Diceros bicornis minor: one gene and its partners. The protein of the gene in region 2 purifies or fractionates together with the protein of the main gene of each other region. This does not show direct contact. Links are inferred from orthologs where the notes say so. Each region holds a gene or a part of one and is shown on either strand. Other genes may lie near its edges. The genes, in order: DTNA, UTRN and MARK2.

Region 1 (7,401 bases), on a different chromosome or scaffold from region 2:
CCACTTAATACCATTCTTAGGTTATGTTCTCTCCTGCAGTCCGAGGTGAACAGGGAGAATGCAAACAGCATTTCTCCTGAGGATGTTACTCAGATGGGAAAATCAACCAAGACACTGTGGCTGAGCACCATAATAGGTACTGCCAGAAGCAGCTGAGTTATGAGGCACTGCCTTGTGTACCGGAGGCTTCAGCCTAGCTGAGACGGCAGGGAGCCTAGGAGGGATGAAAGGAAGAATACCTCTGCCCTCCTTGACTTGCAATTACTCCCTAAGAGCTGACAGGACCATGCCTCAAAGCAGAATTTCTCAGGCAAATGGATACTAACTTTAACTACATAAATAGGCATCTTGAAGTGATGCAAAGATACCGAATGAACACTCTTGGTGTTTATTAATACAAGCACAACTTCTCCCCTCAAGTTTCATGAATGCTTAGGATACAATGTACACATTTCAGGGGAGGTCAGAAGTGATGTTCTGTCTGAGGCTGATGAGTTCCAAAATGGGAATGTGGTGAAAAGTTGGAAAACAGCAAAGGGTTCTGACTGCCTTTGGGAGCCAGAGAGAAGGTAGGGCTTCTATGGGAAGAGGGGAACATTAACAAAAAATGGACAGGAACAAAACTCGCCTACTTGATAATTCTACCCGGGGTCCACATTGACCTCAAAATCTGGTAGCTCTCACACCAAAAAAATCTAACTATTAATTCCCCAAGTCACAGCTCAGTTGATCCATCTTCTTGACCTGTGTTGGAGGTCTAATGTACTTTTCATTCTTGAAAGCTAATTAGTTTCTTGGGGGAGAAGAATTTATGTATATTTTGTGTTCTTCAAGCGCAAATATCATCCTTCCTTGAAACATCAGTCTACATCCAGTGGGTATAAGAGTTTCTAATTAATAAAACAATAATGTGTTTACTTGTTCAACTCTTTTGAATCTACTTCTTATACTCTTGTCATGCAAGTCTTTGAAATACTCCAAAATTACTACTTCCTCATGCAACAAAACTATTACCGACTAATAGATAATAGTAATCATTCTGATTTGACCTATAACACATATACACTCTCTATATTACTATGTTTGTAAAACACATACACACACATATAGTTTCACTATAACATAGTGAACATTCTGATTTTACCTATGGCCATTTGCATTTCAACTATAACCTATTTTAAAAATCAAGAAATTATAAGAGCAAGATAAATATCAGTAATTTATTTTCCATGGTAAAAATAGCCTAAATTAGTATGAACCACAAATATATGTGCATAGCCATATTAAACATATTTTTCCCTAAATGAAGATTTTCTGACACAAACTGCTAGTGATTGTTGAGCCACTGAAGTTGTAATGCATTTCTGAAACGTTAGAATCATCAAACCTAAATATATCTCTAATAATTTTGTATGGTAACAGATGGTTACTAGACTTATCGTGGTGATCATTTTGTAATATATATAAATGTCGAATCACCATTGTATACCTGAAACTAATATAATATTATATGTCAACTATACTTCAATTAAATAAATAAATAAAAATTGAAACAAACAAAAATCTGTCCTGAGTATGCAGATCAAAAAGAAAGGGCTCTTGATATATTGCTGTTCAGTGTGGGCCTCTACCCCTTGAGCAGAAATCTCCCAGAGATACTGCAAAGCCATTAGTGTCCGCTACATGCTAAAGCTTCTAGCTTAACTCCAATAGCCTGTGTAAAATTCTGGATTAAAAATCACTGTTGTGATCTATGCCCAGGAATCCATCTAGTTGTATTGTTTATGGGGACTGGAGAAAAGCATACGGAGCAAAATCTTTAAGGTTGACTGACCAGAAAATATAAACGGTATTTCCAAAACAGTGAGTGAAAATTTTCAGCACTTCTCCATTCAATGTGTAGAAATCTAGGGAGAATTATTGTATTCTTTTCATATGAAGCCAACAAAGGTGCCAACCTCTAATTATTATTAGGCTCAATAGAGACTGTATGAAAAGCACTTTGAAAATCTGAAGTACTTTCAAAATGTAACATATTATTATTACTATTATTTTGCTTTAAATATTGCAAGGATAACTTTTTATTGCCCACTTTAATAGACCTGTGACTTTGATTTTTCATTTATCTCCCTGAATTTCAATGTTAATTTCTTCTTAAAAATTTGTATATAATGACTTATATATTTGTATATAATGACTATTTGATCCCATTGTCATTTTTATTATTACATTATATTGATAGGTCAGTCTATTTATTTCTTCTAGTGGATCCTATACTTGAATCCACTTTTTAACAAAAATCCATTAAAAAAAAATCCACTCAGGGGCCAGCCTCATGGCATAGTGGTTAAGTTCATGCACTCTGCTTCGGTGGCCGGGGGTTCGTGGGTTTGGATTCTGGGCGTGGACCTACACACTGCTCGTCAAGCCATGCTGTGGTGGCGTCCCACATACAAAGCAGAGGAAGATTGGCACAGAGGTTAGCTCAGGGCCAATCTTCCTCACCAAAAAAAAAAAAACCCACACAAATCCACTCAATTTTTAAAATTGAGATCATTCAGGGTAGCCACTACAGGATCAATGCCTGGTGTCTTTGCCGTTAAATTCTTGTAAGCTTGTCAAAAAATATTGTTTGATAACAACAAGAAAGTCTATGATTTTCTAAATTTGCTTTCCATGCAGCAAAATTTAGAAAATTTTAGCTTTCACTTGGAAGTTGATCCTCTTTTTCTTCTCCTTTTGTTTTTTTCTCTTCTTCTCTCCCTCTTCTTGTAATTTCTTGATTCCCTTTTATTCTTCCCTTCCTCTCTTCTTTTCACTGCTTACTCTTCTACCTTCTCCTTGATCTATTCTCTCTCACACCATTTCTCTTTTCTCTGGATTATTAGAATACTGGTTAGCTGCTGAATTTTCTTATATATGCCTGAACAAAGCCAACTGCTCTTCGTGAGAACTTTTACAATATAAAAACAAATCCCCCACTTAGTGTTTATGTAATTGTGGTGCGTGTATAGATGAATGGCAAAGTTAACATATTACCTTGGCCATTGAGATACCATGGAGGTCAAAGACAAGTTGAAATATGGGGCACACAGACAAATGAACTAATTTTAATGTGGAACAGAAATTAAGTAGGCAAAAAGAAAAGGAGTGTATCTTGTACTTTGTGATAATTCATAACACCAAAAAGAACAAAGCATTTCACCTGTAGATCATTTAGTATATATATCTTATCTCAACAGCTAGACATAAACTAATGGAAGACAGGTTCCATGTATTAAACTTCTCTATATCCTTCAAAACATAGCACAGCTCTTTATATACATCAGGCACTTAAAAGGGGTTTGAGTGAAATATACAAATCATTATGAAATTGGTGACTACCCCAAAAACACTGACTGTAATTGCTTGATATTACTATCTAAGGAGTTATAACAATGCAAAGGAATAAAAATGTACATGCAGATACACAGACATATAACACATACACATACCCCCAACAAAGGAAGGAAAGAAAATTATACGAAACCATGAAACTGGAGATATATACAAATACACAAGAGAAAATTATGTGAAAACATATACATATAGAAAAATAAATTTGCAATCTTAGATAGTAGATAACTTAAAAACAATCAAGAATATTTCCATTATTTTCAGTAATCTGAGTTTCCAGGCATTGATCATAGTGAATAAGCAACCTGTGAGTAGCTGTGCAATTAATATTTATAGTGAGACATTGACTTATGTGTACTTGGATAAGTCGTGTTATCTGACCTACACTTCTGTGTCTCTGAAGTGACAATTTGCCTTCTCATCCACCTCCTTTGGGAAGATGCTCTGCGAATAAATGAGGTAATGTTTAGGAAATGTTTGCACCTTGGAAAAGAAACCACTGCATACATCTCAGATATTATTATTACTCCATATTGAAGCCTGGTACATTATTGCCTCTGTTTTAAATTGAAATCGTACTGTTTGAGTCCCTGGGTTCTGACCAAAATCTGGGTCAACATAAGAGGATGATTATTTTTAATTTTAATTCTGAGGCTCTGTTCGGATCCCATGCACGTGTGAGGGAAAACTGTAGAAAATAAACAAAGCACATAAATCAAGCTTTGAAAGAGAAAAATCTCTATCGGATGGATTTTTTTTTCTTCAATGAAGAGTGTGAACACTGTATTTCCCTGGAGGAATATTTCGGTCCAAGAAGGAGGATAGTGCATGCAGTGTGAGTGTGTGTGCGTGTGTGTGCATGTGTGTGTATGTGTGTGTGTGCTGTGCGTGCGCGCCCGCGGAGAGAGGGGCGGGGGAGGCGGATGAGGAGGATGAGATCATAGTTTCAGGATCCTCAGGAAACCCTGGTACTGGCAGCAGCCAGCCTCTGCTGTGCCCACATGACCCACAACTCTGGCAGCGGACCCGGCACTTCCAACATTATTAAATAATAAGAAAGCGGCTCCTACTCCATGCCCAAACCTCCCTACAGACCAATGGACACCTTCTAAGAGTTTGGCGAGTCGGTGACTGAGGCGCCCGTCCATTCCAAGGTGTGTGCAAGGCGTTTTCTTCCTTGACAGCTCCAGAGTGGGGGAGGGCGCGGGGGTGGAGGGGGTCCGCGTGCCGGGCAAGGAGTGGGCGCCGGGCCGGGCTGCTGCGCGCTGCCCCCGGCCGCCCGGTGCCGCGGAGCAAGCCGCGAGGCGGGAGATGCACATGACGCGCAGCCCCGATGCGCAGGGACCGCAGCCGCCCACGGCGCCGGGGCGCGGGCACAGGCGGCTGGGCTGCTGGAGCAAGGGCAGGCGCCGCGCACCCGGCAAAGTCAAGAGTGGAAGCGGGCGGCGAGCGCCGGCGGGGGAAGGGAATCGCCCCAACGCCCACTCGCGGGGTTCCCACCTGTGCGCGGGCGCTGGCCGCGGCTAGCGCGAAGCATGTGCCGGGCGCCGCAGCCAGGACTGCGGCGCGGCGCCTCCCCGGGCGGCGGGCGGCGCCTCGGGCCAGCCGAGAGGCGGTAGCGGCTGCTGCAGGATGGCCGGCCCGGGGGCGCGGGGCCGCGCAGGTAAATCTCGGCCGCCGGCCGAGGCCGGGCCGCGCCGCAGCTCCGGCTGCCGCCGCTGCGCTGCTCCCGGACTGGCGATGGCAGCCGGCTCCCTTGCGTCTCGGGTTGAGTTGTTTTTGTTGTCATTGCTGCCCTCTTGGTCGTCCTCTCGGGCTGAGCTGGTGGGAGGTGGCGTGGGCACATCCACTGGGGATGACTCGCACGTTGGAGAGCAGTCTGGGGGGTATTGACCAGGAAATCCGCGATGGGTTCCTTTCCAGCCAGCGGCGTCTGCGCGTGTTGCAATGCACTGCGGTGCCCGGGCGCATGGCTGACTGGGAGTGGGCACTTTGCACTGGGGACGGCGGGGGGCGGATGGGTACGGAGGTGAGTGTCTGCAGCTTTTGTAGCCTGTTGCCCACTTTGGAGTTCTGCGCTGGACAGAGGACGAACGGGAGGTCCGTTCTGGTGTCCGGAGTGGGAGGTGGAGAGGTGTCTGTCAAAACACCAAAGCCAAGGAGAGAGAAGGGGTGGGGACGGCGGTGCTGGGGCTCCATGGTACCACGCCTGGGACTTGGTAGTAAAACTTTCCTCTTTGGCAGGCTTGGGGTCTGACTTTAAGAAGATAAGTGTAGAACTTGGGGGAAAAATATTGGATAAACACTTGCAGTGAAACTTACCACCATTAGGTTCATTCTTACTCTAAAAAATGATGTTTGGAGTTGATGTTTAAGTTTTCCTGTTATCTGTTAGAATTAGTTGATATTTAATGTGTGTTTGTGGTTCATAACAATGATCTTTATTGTTGAAGTATACAGTTATTGGTTTCTTATACAAAAAAACATTTATTTTTAGAATAAATGTTAGAAGGTAGAAAAGGTAGAAACTGCAGGGAAAAAACCCAGCTCTCCACACGTTCCAGGCATAGTTCTATGTGCTTTAGCTCTGTTCACTTCATTCTTACACCACCATAAGGGGTAGGTAATAATATTAACCACCTTTTACAGATGAGGAAATCCAGACAGAGGTGAAATAACTTACCCAAAGTTGTACGGTTATTAAACGTTAGAGCCCAGTTGGGCTTTTGGTGTACTCTTAACCAACACTTTGGGACAATTAACTCTTTTTCTAATTAATAGTGTAATTATGGCACATATCCTTTGAGTAGTTTCTTTTTGTCACAATTAACTGTTTCCTACAACAGTTACAGATTACAACAGTGTATCTATCAGCAAAGTTAAGGTTTTCAGCAGTTAAGATTTATCAGCAAAGTTAATAATTATAAAGCAGATGGCTGAATCTAAATATTTGTTTGCACTAAACCTCCTAAGGTGTTAGTCTGTTCTTTGCTCAAAGTGTGGCCATCATTTTCTTCAGAACACCATCTTGCAGAATTTTTGAGCAAGTTGTGTCATCTTTAATCCAATCACTCTGACAAGAGGTTAGGCAGTTTTAAAAGAAGAACTATGCAATTCTCTTTAACTGTCATTGATTAAAAGCACGCTGTATTTTGAGGGTATTCGTGTATGTCATGCGTTTTAGCCAATTGTATGCACTTTATACAAAGTAGCAATGAAGACTAAAAATCAAATTTTCTCATCAGTCCTAAGTCAAAATAGTTTAAAAATCTCCATTTGTTTTAAATGAACCATCATGTGAAGAAAGGTCTCAGTGGAGTGAACTACAACTGCACATATTTAGAGAATTATTCTTCATTTGAGCTTATCATGGAGCTCTCATAATATTCATTTTATAGGACAGATGTCTCTCTTAAGTCTTCATCTGTTATTTTTTCAAGCAAATTTAATTGCTTCTTCACATGAGTTTCAACATTATTTTGACATGCATAGATTTCCTTAATTCTTGTCTTTCGGTTTAATTAAATTCAGTATAACTATTTCAAATCCACACTTATTCAACATGATAGGTGAAAAGAGACTAGAATCCAACTGAACTATGTAGAAACCTGATCTTTGGATATGAAAACAATTGTCTTGCTCTTCAGTGGTTAACGTCTTCAACACCCCAAATTATGGCTACATCTTTATTTTGGGATGCTAGAGTGCAATGCTGTGGTCAGAAAAGTTGCATGCCATCAGGTACAAGTGTTTTCGATATTGAAATTGAATTTTCCAAGTCTATTTATGTGACTATTGATTGTTATTAAAGCATAAATCCTATGATACATACCTATATCCTTTCTTAACTGTCTCAACTGTTTCCATTTTCTGGCTTCTGTTACTTATTTTAGAGAAAGCATTTCCTTGATGCTTTCACCTCACCTGGTAGATACGACGTGACTTTTTCCTTTCAAGTCCCATCCCTCTAGTTTTTGGAGAATCGTACATCTCTGCTTCTTGAGA
Region 2 (7,082 bases):
GCACCCCAAATGCCAATTAAATAAATTTATCATTTAATTGGGAGTATAACAGCCAATACATCCAAATATTAATCTGCAAATAATGGACATTAATTCACATATAACAAAAGATGTCAGAACCAGAGTTTACTGCCAGCTAGGATTGAACAACTCAATTCTTTGATTCAAGGACAACCCATACAGTATTATTATTTTATATTTCATTTTACATATTTGTGTAATATTTAGTATTTTATATATTATAATGTTTTATGATATATAACATCAAGGAAATACCATATAATATTAATTTATTATAATATAAATATAGGCTATACATAATAATTTTTTTTTCCTTGGAAAAACTTACCTTGGAAAAAAGTTTGAAGTGTTAAAGAGTTTGAGGCAGATGAAAACTATGATAGATTGCTAAAGCTTTATAACAATTTCCTCTCCAGTAGGAAGGAATATGTGGATTGGATCATGAGTCTGGTGGATTTTATGAGCATGTAAAAAACTTTTTTCATTTTTTACATTGGTCTACTACTGTTAATACTTTATGGATTAATACTCTATGGATTATTATGTGATTAAGTTCCTTTTTAGGGGTACGTGACTGTAAAGGATTTGCTGAATTCTTAAATTATTTTATTATATTCAAGAACCAAAAACTTTGTTCAGAAGAATGCATATAAAATTTTATTATGGAAAATCAGGTTTGCTCAACAAAAATTCTCTTTCCTGGAAAGCAACTAACTATTCCCTTTGAGAGAGATTTCTAATGCTCTCCTTCAGAATTGGTTTTAGCCAAGGGTCTTCATCTCAATACTTCCCATAGACCTTTCCCACTGCATAAAAGAGAAAAGCAAACCATTTACACAGGATCTTATTCCATTTGTGCATTAATATTTCTTCATTATGTTATTTTGCCACTCTCTTTAACATAATTTCTCAAATTTTCTCATCTTTTTTTTTTCTTTTGGTGAGGAAAATCAGCCCTCAGCTAACATCCATTGCCAATCTTCCTCTTTTTGCTGAGGAAGATTAGCCCTGAGCTAACATCCATGCCCATCTTCCTCTACTTTATATGTGGGACACCTGCCACAGCATGGCTTGATGAGCAGCACATAGGTCTGCACCCGGGATACGAACCTGCGACCCCGGGGGCACCAAAGCGGAGTGGGCAAACTTAACCACTACGCCACTGGGCCAGCCCCTACAAATCTTCTCTTCTTGATAATCAAAATCCCTTATATGCTACAAAGCTACAGCATAAAGGAGGATCAGAGGACAAGGAAAGAATAGGAAGGAGGGAGAATCACAGAAGATCCCTTAAACAGTGAGGGCCACTATGTTGCCGCAAATGGCCAGGGGGTTCCAGGCTGAGTAACCTATGGCAAAAGATGCCTTCTTCTAAATCGCTAAATGCTGTAGAGATCTATAATTGGTCCTCAGAAAACAGAATCAAAGTTTGATCACCAACACTGTGTGACCCTCCACTTCCACATCTATGAGATGGAGGGAAGGTCATCTTCCACACAAAGCCAGGGGAGAAACTGAGAACAAATCACAGGGATATTGCTTCACGAGCTTTAAGCCCTATGCAACTGTAATTTATTGTTCCCACTGCTCTAGCTTTCTGTTTCACCATAATGATGTTCTGCAAAGTTTAGCCAGCTCTTTCTCACCAAAACCAATACACTCAACTTTCTATTCACTAACTCCTTCTTTAGAACATTTCTGGCTGTCACACGGACCAGAAACCATGCGTGTGCAGCAATAAACCTGGCGTGAAAGGATGGGAGAAGGCCTTAAAGGCAAAACTGTTTTAATTTTAAAACCATTTGGAATTACACAACGCAAGAATACAAGTCTGCTCAATAATGTGCAGTTATGATGGAAATGCGGTGTCGGTCCTCGGGCAAAAACTATTCATTCATTTACACTTGGAAGCAAAACCTCGGAATGCTAGACATAGTGGAAAAGAAGTCCAAGCGGGCGACTTGGCCGCTCTGCTTGAGACATAGTAAAAGAAACCGCCCCTTGCCAAGAACTGCCATTCACTCGAGGAAGCGCTCCAAGGGAAGGTTAATAGTACAGTGATTAATACTGTTTACAGGGGCAATAAATTGTCAGTAAACACCCAAAGGAGAGTTAAAGAGCTGTCTCATCGGTCCCATAAACGCGGGTAAAGGGGGCGGGGACTGACTCCGCGTAAACCTTGGCCCTCGCCGCCTGGTACTCTGGAAGCTGAGACAGCCGCGAGCTTCGCATTCCTCCAGCTCTCGCCAGCCCCGCAGCGCTATCGGCAGGCTGCGTCCCCCGCGCCCACCGGCCCCCAGCCGGGAGGGGCCCACCCGACTCCCCGAGGCCCGTGCGAGTGACAAAGGGATGGATGCGGCCGCGAGCTCCGGCCCCGACCCGGGGAATCGGGGCTCCCCCGAACTCGGTGCGCTCCGGCCACGGCCACTGGTGCACTGACCCTCTCATACGCCGTATGGGGAACTGACCCGGGAGACCTTGGTGACCCAGGTGACCTGGAGGCTGGGAAAGAGGAGGCTCTCCCGGGACATCACAGAGATCAGGGCCGTTAGACCCAGGGTAGACCTGGGGCTCTCCAGTGCAGTGTAAAACAAAGTGCGGCACCCCCCCCCCCCTTAGCTCTTGGAGGTCGGGTACGTTTTCTCCTCTTGGAACAAGCCTGGAACGAGTCCCTTTCGTAATCTGGGGCTTGGGAAAAAAATTCTCTTTGAACAGCGTGCCTTCGAAAAGTTGCACAGCCTAAAATGAGTGCTGTGTTGGTTTTTTAAGTGGCCTTGGGCAACCAGAGCTTCCGACCCGGGGCCAAACTGGGGCATAAATTACCTTATCAGTTGCAGCAAGAGATGCCAAGAGTTCGGAAAACCAGAAGAGGCGACTGCGCGAAAGAACGCACGGATTGGGCAGCCCTCGTCCCCTCTCCGGAGCCCCACCTTCGGGAGCAGCAACGGCCTGAAGGTCAGGCACATTTCCTGCCAGGCGGACGGCTGGGAATCGCTCCCTGCCCGCCGCCCACACTGCCAGCCTCTCCCCACCCTCTCCGCGCGGACACCTCCGGGCCCCGCCTTCCCCGGGCTGGGGTGTGTGTGACAGGCACTGCTAGGAGGCCACGTCCCCTCTCGAGATCACTGGCCCAGCGCTTCTCACCGCGCGAGGCACGGAAGCGCGACCCCCTCACCCGGGAGGGGAAGAGGATTGGGGGAGCCAGGCAGCAGCACAGAAGCAGCTGGACGAGTTTGAGTCGTTTGCTACTATATGGATTCCGAGGATCTCCACGCGCGAGCTTTCTCCACGTTTCTAGCATTCTCTCTCCCGCCGAGGGGAGCTGAACTGAGGTTCCGAGGAAAGTGCACGCAAAAGTTGGTTACATCTTAGCCTCAGCCCTGAGAAGGAGCTCGGCATGCGGATCCTGGGCGCAGAAGCCGCAGAAAAGTCCATTCTCCCCGCAGCCCACACCCCGTTTCCTCGGGGCCGCGGTCACAGTCCCCAGCCCGAGGCTTCAATAATGCACGGGCTTACCTGCTCGCCTGACCAGCGGCCGCCCCCGCGTCCCGAGCGGGCCGGGGGCTCCTCTGCTGAGTTGGGTCGTAGTAATCGCGGAGAGTGTGCGCGCGTGGGTGATACGATGCACCGTTTTTCAAAAATGATATGTGGAGAACCAGACGAGGTCCGAAAGAAAAAAAAAAATTTGACACCCGATCGAAAACGCCCCTGACTTGTGCAATCTTCCTGCCTGGTAGTTCCGCCAAAAACAAAACAGTCCAAGTGCAAACCTGGAACCGGCGCGTAGGCACCAAGTTTGCCAAACACGAGAGTTTTCCGTCCGCAGAAATGACCCAAAAGAAGGGGGGCGCCGCTCCCCGTGATTCCCCAATCGGCTTCGGGAGCCGGAGGCTCCTCCTCGCCCCTCGGCGGGAGAAAGCCCGCGGCAGGCGGCGGCTGCCCGCTCCCCTCCTCCGAGGAAAGGCGACTCCACAACTTTGTGCGCGAGCGGCTCGCGCCTCCGGCTCCTCCTCCTCCTCCTCCCTCTCCTCCTCCTCCTCCTTCTCCCCGCCGCCGGCCTGCCCCTTTGTTGGAGCGCAGCGCAGGAGGCCGAGCAGGGAGGGTGGGGCGCAGGACCGATCGGTCGCGCGCTGCCGCCCCCTTGGCACCGGGCGCGCGTCCCCGCACCCCGGGGTCCCCTCCCCGAGGAGGAGGAGGCCGAGCCGGGCCGGGCTCCAGCGCTCCCGCTCCCTCGCGGCTCTCCCGCCCCGCCGCCGCCGGCCCAGCAACTTTGTCCTGCACGATCAGCCTCTCCCGGCTCCCGGTTCGGCCCCGGCCCGGCCCAGGCGGCCACCGCCGGCTGGGCTCCGAGAACGTGGCGCCCCGGGTCACCTGACCGCGCGCCCCGTCAATCAGCGCCCGCCCTGCGCGCCCTCCCCGCCCGCAGCAGCGGGCCTGGCGCTCGGTGGCCTGGGGCTGCGCGCCCGCCGGCTGCCGGAGCGAACTGTGCGTGCCGGGAGCCGGGAGCGAGAATGGATGCCGGCGCAGACACAGTCCCCTTTATTCAGATTATCCCAAAATGTGAGTCACGCCCCCACTCCAGGCAAACCGGGTAGTTCGAGGGATTGTTTTGTCCTTTAGATGTAAATCTCCATTAGCCCCTCCACTCACTCCATCTCAGTTTACTGACTTTTTGGTCCTAGTTCCAGGGGTGTATTTATTTTATATAGTTTTCTTAGTGTCGTTTTTTTTTTTTTTTTTTTTTTTTTTTTTTTTTTTTTTTGTGAGGAGATCAGCCCTGAGCTAACATCCGCCAATCCTCCTCCTTTTTTGCTGAGGAAGACGGCCCTGGGCTAACATCTGTGCCCATCCTCCTCCACTTTATATGGGACGCCGCCACAGCATGGCTTACCAAGCAGTGCGTCGGTGCGCGCCCGGGATCCGAACCAGCGAACCCCGGGCCGCCGCAGCGGAGCGCGCGCACTTAACCGCTTGCGCCACCGGGCCGGCCCCTTAGTGTCGTTTTTAATATTCAAAAAATCTTGAAATTTCGTTTCATATTCGTTCATACCTACAAATAGTGTTTACACAGACCTTTTTTTTTCTGTTTTTCCAATACACACACACACACGCACATACATCTATTCTAGAGCCTGTCTCAAGGCTGAGGCGGTGATCAAAAATATTTGGGAAGAGAAGAGTTTGTGCTGTGTATTTTTCTTATGTACATATTTCACTCCCCATGTGTTCCTGTGATTCTTTTCTATGATCATCACGCTTGGGAGGAGGAAGAAAAAACAGCAACCTAAGTTCCTAGTTCACATAAACAAAGAGGAAAGGGTGATTGATAAGCTAGCTTTGGCATGTTGCTGGTTTAATATTTGAAAGTTAACAGTTTACGAGTTAGTAAAGATAAGCCGCTAGGGGACTTAAACGAATTTTTCAGAAAGAATTTACTAGCCTTTTATGAGTTATAAAGTGGAAGGTTCCCCAGTCCCTAAATGCTGTGAGGGGTAGGAGGTCCTGAAAGATAGTGTTCCTTATAAAGTCGCTAGCTTAGCTTCCTTCCTTGGGGGGATTTTCTTCATAAAACCCAAATAAAATCCAGAGGATTAACTTGAAATGGATATAATTCATTCATTCACTTTTATTCGTTCATTCATCTAACAAATGCCAGTTTGGGGCCTTGAGGCCCCCTGAATACTGTGAATAATGCAAAGATAAATTCGATAGAGATCTTGCCTTGAACTTCAAATCTGGTAAGTGAGATATAGCACGTAAACAAGTAGGGATATATGCAAGATAAGTGCCCAAGAAAAAGACAGATCAAGTGCTACCTGAGTCTGGCTGTATCCAGGGAGACTGAGGTTTCTTTTAACTGATAATCCTACAGACCCTTAAACCTGCCCATCATGCACTGTCTCCCGGTTGAGTTGCTGGAAACTCAGATTTCCTCCTTTAAAATAAAACCATATTGGAGTGTTTGAGGATTTCCTTACTTAAAATTATGTAAATGAAAAAGCACTTTGTAAATTGCAAGGTACTATACAAATATTAATTTATTTAATTCAAATTTTTTGAAAAACACAGATATTTGGGGACCTGAGATTGCTGCATTTTTAAGCTCTGAGGGGAAGTTTAGTTAAGCTTCCCCGAAGGCCATAAGGAAAGGGGCATAAGTGATGACAGCCACCATCTGTGCGGGAGTGACTCCACCCACATCCCAGCTCAAGTGGCTTATGGTGCGTTCCCTGTGACCTGTGAAAGAGGCCAGAGAACTTCGTGTTGGTGGGATGACCAAGACATCCCAAGCTGGTCCTTTGTAAGTGGGGGAACCGCTTCAAGTGGGAAATTTTGACCACAGAGAGCTACGTTTCCATAGAACAGATAGTGGGGTCTTCCTTGACAGCCTGAGGACTGAGTTGGGGGGAAAGTGAACAGGTCACTAGGAGGTGGTAGCTGTTAGTACACCTGCCACCAACATGCCACCTGCAGCCCACATAGCAGGGACATGGGCCTATAACAACAGTGCTCCGTGGGGTTTTGTCTGCCCACGCCAAAGATGGATGTAGAACATTTGGAGAAAATGATAAGAATGTGGCCCTGGGTCTACCATCAACCCAAAGTTTGAATTGCCCAACAGTCACCACAGAACAGTGAAAATTTAAGAAAACTGAACTGCTCTCATGGGGATAAAGCACTTGACATTGGAGAAAATATTATGATCTGAGTAGTGTATGTAAAAAGTTAAAGACATGTGTGTATATATAATATAGACAGACATGATTCTACGTAGATATTGTTCATATACAGGGAACTGCGTCCTAATAAAAAAGCAAACTTTCTCTACTAAACTTTGTGTAAGAGTATATAAATGCATTTTCTCTTTGAACAATAGAAACGTGAGGAAATAATGTAACAAAAGCAAGACACTCCTTCCATTTTACCCTTGGTGTTGACGGTGAATGAAGCCCCACATGGAAGCATTTAGGAGAGGGACAAAGGTGAGAGGAACAAAGCATTAGGACAAATATTCACCTTTCCTTAACTTTTTCAAGCCAAGAAAGTAAAGATCTGTGCCT
Region 3 (7,432 bases), on a different chromosome or scaffold from region 2:
CCCATTTAACAGATGGGAAAATTGAGGTAGAGAGCGGTCAAGAGGCTTGCCTAAGATCACATAGATACTAAGGAGCAGCCTGGTGGCAGGGTCTGTGCTTGCTCACTGCCCTACACTACCCGCCTCTCACGGGCTGAGGCTGATGCTCCCGTTCCCACTGCTACTGGCAAAGGACCAAACTTCTCTACGCTTCGATTTCCTTATTAGTAACCTGGGGGAAATCACAGTGCCTCCTGCACATTGTTTGAGAATTAAATGTGGTGACGTCCACACAGTACACAGCTCTCGATGCGTGTTAGCAAAACCAAGACAGAGGAATGAGACTGGCAGTTCCAGCCCTTGTGTTCACGTCCTGGTGGTGGCTGGGCAGGGGGCACCGATAATAAACATATTCTATTCCATCAATTGTAAGATGCACATTTTTTTCACATTCTAACGTCTCCCAAATGTCCTAAATTCAACACGGTGTATGTCAATGTCGATAAAGCGCGTGATGGAAATTCAGAGACATCAAGAAAAATAAAGCTCTGCGAGATGGGAGGGTCTCTGGCGAGTCAGAGGGCGTGGGTGGGTCTTGCTTCACCCCCGGCTTCTGACTCTTGATCAGAGGGCAATTCTGAGGCAATCCTGCACCTCCCAGAGTGGCCTGCCTGGAATGCGCATCCTCTCTGGCTCCTCCGGTCGGAGGGAGAAAGGTGAAGATGAGTTGCAGTGTTTTGGAGGGATGAGAACAAGGATGTCTTCCACTCCAGCACTCTTACCTCTTCTTACTTCTTTCCTCACAGCTCATGCATGTAGGGGGATTGCTCCCCTGCCAGAGCTGGGAATCCCGTAACCTCTGCCTTCCGGGATCCCAGGGGGCATCACGGCCGCCCTGGAGCACGGCTCCTATTGGCTGGTGTCCACCTGGTCTAGGGCCTGTGGTAGCTGCCTTTACTCTTGTGTTTGTTTTGTCTTTAGTGTTCAGGTTGGAAAGCTTGGAATTATCCTTAACTTCTCTCCCAGACCCCCTAAGCCAATCCATCGAGAAATCCTGTCAGCTCTACCTTCCAGATATATCCCAAATCCTTCTCCTTCTCACTGCTTCCACTGCTGCTGCCCCACCCCAAGCCACTGTCATCTCTCACTTGAATTATGTAAAAGCCTCCTTCCTGGTCTCCAGGCTTCTGTTCCTGCCCTGCCCCTTCGCTCTGTTCTCAACTCAGCAGCCCATCAGATCATGTCCCTGCAGCGGCTCCTCATCTCACTCCAAGGGAAAGCCAAAGCTGTGGCCTAGCTCCACATCCCCTTTCTGCCCTCTCCACTACTCAGCCCCTCACTCTGCTCCAGTCTCCTTGGCCTTCTTGTTCTTTAAACAGCCAGGCCCGCTCCTGCCTCAGGGCCTTTGCACAGGCCATCCCCTCTGCCTAGAATGCTCTCCTCCCAGATATCCACAGAGCTCACTCCCTCACCTCCTTCAAGTCTGCTCAAGTGTCACCTTCTCAGTGAGGCCTACACTAACCACCTTAGTCTTTCACCTCTACCCCCTCACCCCAGCAACCCTGACCCACCTTAGCTGGCTCTATTTTATTTCCATGACACTTAATACTATTACGTCTGTTGTCTGTCTTCTCGCAGTTGTAAGTTCCCCAAGGGCAGAGATCTTTGTTTTGTTCACTGATACACCTAGAAGAGTGCCTTGCACATAGTAGGTCCTCAATAGAGATTTGTGAATGAATGAATATGCAGATTGGAGGGGGGTAAATGTGCAGTGATAATTAATCTTTAAGGAGAACTAGGAAGGCTCCGGGATTGGAGAAGGTGACATCTGAACTGAATCTTGAAGTACGTCCGGAAGCTGAGGTAGGTGACTGGCCATTGATCAGCCTGAACAAAAGCATGGAGGTGAGAGAGCCTGGTGGCCGGGCTGCAGCTGGGGGGAGGTGTCAACCAGCAGTGCTGAGTTGGAGAGGATATTAGCAAGCTAAGTTGGGGCCAGATTGTGCAAAGCTTCCAATGCAGGCTAAAGGCTTTTTTTACCTCCAGGACTGGTTACGAAATGTCTGGGGCCCAGCGCACAATGAAAAGGCAGGGCCCCCTTGATGAAAATTACAAGAGGATGACAGCAGAGCATTACATCAAACTCAAAGCCCTTCTAAGAGTAGGGCTTTGTGTGACTGCACAGGTCCTAGGCCCATGGAGCCAGCCCTGCCTGTCCCTCAAGGAAGCTGGTGAGAACCTTCCAGCAGGCAGAGATGTAATTAGAGCTGGACTTTAGGAAGATTATTCTGGCCTGTCTGGTGGAGTACGTCGGAGGAAGTCCAGGCAGGGAGACCAGTTAGGCAGCCTTGTGAGGAAGACGAGGGGACAGGTGGGGTGGGGGTGGGGGCTAAAGGTCAGAGGGCAGGGGTGAGAACACGAGCGAGGACAAGGATGGAGAAGGTAGAGTTTGCTGAGACGAGAACCTGGGCCCTGGCAGACCCCCGAGCACACCTTCCTCTGCTCCTCCAACCTCTTCCCCTTCTTCCTTCTTTCCAGACCCTTGGAGGTGACACCGGACACAGGACTCAGCAGTGTGTCTCCCTTTGGCCACCAGAGGGCAGATCATTCTCATGGATTTTCAGAGAAGAATTTGGGGTTGGGGAGTGGAATGTCCCCTGTCCTCACCTCTTCCTCTTATTTGTCCTCACCTCCTCCTGTGTTCCTTCATCAACGGCTGGGTGCCTGGATGGAGCTGGGGCAGGGCATGGGGAGTTGTCCTAGAGTCCCGGATATTTACTAGGTCTGTAGGTGGTACCTGTCGCCTCAGGAAGTACTTTCATATCATTATCTCCTTGCGTCTGTCCGGCTGCCTATTTCTCTGGGTGACTTGGCCGAGGGCTCTGCTCTAGAAACTGTAGCTGGGAGTTGGAAGTGAAGCATCCGAGGTCCAGCCAGCACTTTTTCTCGCAATCCCTGGGGCCTCTCTGCTCCTGTACCTTTTTGGGGACTTGATGCTTGAGCCTGGTCTCTGTCTTCTGGGGGGACTCTGGCTTCTGCCCACCTGAAGCTGCTGTTGAGCCCTGGGAGGCGGGGGACAAGGGCAAATTCCAACATGTCTGGATCTGATGGGTGGGAGCCCCTTGGAGCCAGAGGAATCAGATCAGCCTCTCCCAATGAGACAGTCTAGGGGGAGTGAAGAGTGGGCTCAGTTTGCCACATGGACTTCCTGTTAGTCAGGAGCTCTGCAAAAATGAGAGGGACCTGAGAGCTCATGAATCCAGCGACCTCGCTTTATTGATGGGGAAACTGAGGCCCAGGGAAGGAAAGGAACTTCTCCAGGTGCCCATTCTTTGTGCCATCCTGAGGCATCCTCATCGTCAACTAGTTTCTCTCTCTTTTTCCACGAGTTTTCTTGTCTTAGAAGGGATAACTGAAATGTGAATTAAGATGAGAATTTCTCTCCTGCCTTACCTTACAGGGGTATTTAAAAAGGTAACTGGTGTGACTCAACATTACCACAGTGTGATGTCATTTTGTGCTATTTTGAACAATTAAAAGATTTTTTTTGAAATTAAAAGGTCACTGGAATTTAAAGATGTTATTTAGAATGTCATCCCTGGAACAAAGGCACGGATTCTCTCAGTATAGGGAGGTCAAGGAGCCTGCACTCAGAGATGTTACGTGATTTTTCCAAGGTCACACAGCATTTTCAGTCCACAGAACTGGGCTTGGGATGCAGGGCTGGGGAGACTTCTGCAGCCTCCCGCAGCTGGGAGCCAAGGACGCTGACCAAGTGTCTGCCCAGGTCCTTGAGGTGCCCTGCGGACTTGATGTGGGTGTATGGGTAGATAAATAGAAGCCAAGACAGACGATGGCAGGGGATGAATGATAGTAGACAGACAATAGGCTAACACTGCATTTGACGGGTGACATATGTTGATAGACAGGTTGGGTGACAAACGAGATGGATTTTATGAGCTGACCAACAGACGGACGAACGGACGCGGAGAAGGGAAGTTGCTTTAAAACCGAAGGATGCCAATCGCAAGGACCGCTGACAGCCTTATTTTCTATTTAGTCAAATAATAACAAGCACAGGTGATCCACGCTCCCTTTCAAGATTTGAAAATATCCGAAAACTGACGGAAAGAAACGAAGAGTCAGATTCTGGATACCTCCTGAGGGAATGACCCGGGGCTCGCCAGGCCTCGGGTGTTGCCGGAAATGGCCGACGACAGCCGTCGGCAGCGGAGCGGGACGGGGGCGTGGCCGGCTCACGGCTCGCAGAGCCTCTTCGGGTGTTTCCGGAAACTGCCGAGCGCCAGCTTGAAGCGGGCGGGGAAAGGCCTGTGGGCGTGGCTGGAGTACCCGGGGTGGCTTCGTGGATTTCCGTAAACAGAGCCGAAACTCGGTCTTCGGCATCAAGGAGGCGCGCGCGTCCCCAGGGGTTACCTTCTTCGGGTGTTTCCGGAATTCACCCGTAGTCCGTGGCCGGGAGGAGGAGGCGCGCCCCCCTCCCGTTCCTAGCCGCTTCGGATGTTTCCGGCTGCTGCCGGCGGAAAGAGCCGAGGGCCGGCGGTGGTGGCGGCCATGTTGGGAGCAGCAGGTCCGGCGGCGGCTGCCTGTGTGCCGGGCGCGGAGCAGTGCCGCTGAGGGCAGGGGAGGAGCGAGGCGGGCGGCCGGCTGCGGCGGCAGAGAGTAGGCGGAGCGGCGCGGCCCGGCCGAAAGGCGGCACAGCCCAGCCGGGGGTCGGGGGGGTGCGGTCCGGAGCCGCTCGGAGCCGGCGCGGCCTAGCCCGAGCGGCGCATCCCCGGGCTGGCGTGAGCGGCTGCCCGGCCTCCCCGCACCCCCGGCCGGGGCCCATGCGGCGGGTGCCCCTGCTGTGAGAAGCCCCGCCCGGCCGGGCTCCGCGCCTTCCCTTCCCTCCCTTCCTCCAAGCTTCTCGGTTCCCTCCCCTGAGATACCGGCGCCATGTCCAGCGCCCGGACCCCCCTACCCACGCTGAACGAGAGGGACACGGAGCAGGTAAGGAGCCCCGAGGGCTCCCCGGATTCTCTGGCTGGGCCCCTGCACCTTGCGGAGCCTCCTCCCTCCTCTGCTCTCCTCGTGCCCTGCTGCCACCCTGCAAGCCGCGGCTGCCCTGTCATCTGGCTCTCGGCCCCGCACATCCCCCTCCGAGTCCGGTCTTGGGACCCACCTCGTCCAGACTCCAAGCTGCACACTTGTCTTCCTGCCGACCCCCCTTCTGCCCTCACCGCCCTCCTGCGCTCTTCCGTGTTACCTCCCCAGCTTCCCCTTCTCTTCCCTTTTTCTCTCGGGGGCCTTTTTGGTCTTTCTCCACCCACGCTTAAAGCAGCCACCCTCCCACTCCTCGAAGAGCACTCCGCGGTGTGCCCCAGATCGTCGTCCACCCCTTCCTCCATCTCTCTCGCCTTGCTCCCCCTCCGCCCGCACCGGTTCTCCCAGTCCCTGGTTATCACCCTCAGGGTCCTTCCCCGGAGTGTGTTCTCGATCCCTGAACCCTGTCCCCTTCCAGTTCCTCCTCTTTTTTACCCTGCTTCTGCCCTCTCCAAATTGCGCTCTCCCTCCTGCTTGCAACCCACCAGCTCTACCCTCATCACCTTTCCCAATCGCTCGCCTACTCTGTGCTCATCACTTTCCCTTCTTCTCTCCAGGAGCTCCCTGGTGCCTCGCGCTGGCATTTGTTGCTTCCGTGTTTCCCATACAGCTGTCATGCGCATAGTTTTCCCACAGGTTGTCTCTGGGGTTCCAGTCGTCACTCCCTTCAAAGTCCTCGGATCCCTCGCGTTCTCTTCCCCCCAGAGTTTGGCTTTTAAGTCTCTTGGCCTCCTGTTTCTCCCTGTGGGTGCCTTACCAGCCTTCTCCCCGGGCTCTTCCTACCGAGGGAAAGACACTATTTCAGCCCCACTCCGTTAACACAACCTGTTGCTTAGTCCTCTCCCGGGCCTCGCTGCATCACCGCCCTTGCCTTTCTGTTTTCTTACATCACAGCACAAACCATGCCTTCCTGTCGCTTCACTCCCGGATCCGTCACTTTTCATAGTATCTTCCTCCTTGCTTGTTGTCTTCCGGTTTCTTTACCCTCACTTCATAATCCTTACTGTGTTTCTTAATCAGGATTGCCTTTCATCTCGGTATTAGTCTCCTGCCTTCTTCACACCGTGTTTATTTCCCCACATATGCCCCTCTCCATCCCCTTCCCATTGGCTAGTCTTTGTAACTCCTGGGCCCAGGCATTTTGCATGCTCGTTTCTTGAGCTACACGCTCCCTCTCATCCTGGCAATCACTGCCGTCATTTGTCACCCAAGCCTTAGCCTTTTCTCTGTCATCTCACCTCTGAGCTGAGAGGCATCCACTTCCACCTCTCCCCTTTGTTTCACCATCTCCAGTGTCCCTTGCTGACTGCTCTGTGGAGAGTCCCCTGCCTGTCACGCCCTTCTTGGTGGAGAACTTTACTAGGCCAAAAAAACTTGACTCGAAAAAGGAGCTCTTCTCCCCTGGGGCTGCAGTGCTTTTTGCATCCTTTTCCCTCCTTACATCCTTGCTGCTTTCCTTTTGTTCCCTTAGTTCTTCGGAGCCCAATAGAACCGTCGTTATAGTCTCTTGCATGTTAACCTTTTCTGAAAAATCTTCCCTCTTTTCATTTTTGCTACGTTCTTTTCTTTTGTTACCCCCGGCTCTGTGTCCCCTGGGCAGTCAGACACTCAAGAGGAGTTCTGGACTGAGTTTCTCTCTGCAGTGGTTCTGGACTGAGTTTCTCTCTGCAGTGGTTGACCCTTTCATTACTGACGGATTGATTGCTTGTGGGGTTGAAACGGGCTGAGAGGGAGGGATGGGTGATTTCCATTTCATCACTGGGTTTGGCAGCTGGTTCTGCAGGGGCCTGAGGTCTTTGGAAACAGGAGCATGGTCTGTATCCCACAGGCTTTCCCTCGCTTGCCAGCTGTTTCTCTCCTTACCGGGAACCGCTTTCTCCAGGCCCTCTTGACGTTGCCTGTGCCATTCCTTTTCCCATCACAACCTTTGTTTTAGCAAGTGAACCCTGCCTGACCAGAGAACTTTCCCAGACTGTTGATTGTGAGCTGGTAGGAGGAGGCCAAGTGACTGACTGGCACCCTCAGGCATTTGGGGAGTGGCTTGGAGTGGAGTGCCTACTCTCTCAGCGAGCCCGTGGGGGGCATTGTGTTCAGCAAAGTGGAGTAACAGACTGCCTCAGTGTGGTTTCTTTGTGCTGTTTACTAAATGTAAATGTATTCCCACCATGGTCTTTTTCTTGTGATGTGTGCATTGATTTCCTCTCTTCCCTACATGCCCAGCATACTGCTGAGCGCGTAGTAGGAACTCGGTGCACACCATGGATTTCATGCTAGCGGTAATCGGTGAACCATTTGGGAGTGTAAGCTGCTGTTTGATAACTTGGTCCGGGGCAGTGCCTGCATACATTGTCAT

What was found.
Region 1: the proteins of UTRN (region 2) and DTNA purify together in Homo sapiens (affinity purification with mass spectrometry; 3 studies listed by BioGRID and IntAct, with this or other methods). This does not show direct contact. The link is inferred for Diceros bicornis minor from reciprocal best matches to the Homo sapiens genes UTRN and DTNA.
Region 3: the proteins of UTRN (region 2) and MARK2 purify together in Homo sapiens (affinity purification with mass spectrometry; 4 studies listed by BioGRID and IntAct, with this or other methods). This does not show direct contact. The link is inferred for Diceros bicornis minor from reciprocal best matches to the Homo sapiens genes UTRN and MARK2.

The regions. Positions count from the first base shown.
Region 1 is NC_080755.1:28,770,941-28,778,341, forward strand, and holds the start of DTNA (dystrobrevin alpha), read left to right. Parts: upstream 1-4,350; 5' UTR 4,351-4,550; intron 4,551-7,401. UniProt on the Homo sapiens protein: May be involved in the formation and stability of synapses as well as being involved in the clustering of nicotinic acetylcholine receptors.
Region 2 is NC_080778.1:23,466,202-23,473,283, reverse strand, and holds the start of UTRN (utrophin), read right to left. Parts: upstream 3,002-7,082; 5' UTR 2,845-3,001; intron 1-2,844.
Region 3 is NC_080770.1:9,074,025-9,081,456, reverse strand, and holds the start of MARK2 (serine/threonine-protein kinase MARK2), read left to right. Parts: upstream 1-4,425; 5' UTR 4,426-4,932; coding exon 4,933-4,986; intron 4,987-7,432. UniProt on the Homo sapiens protein: Serine/threonine-protein kinase. Involved in cell polarity and microtubule dynamics regulation. Phosphorylates CRTC2/TORC2, DCX, HDAC7, KIF13B, MAP2, MAP4 and RAB11FIP2. Phosphorylates the microtubule-associated protein MAPT/TAU.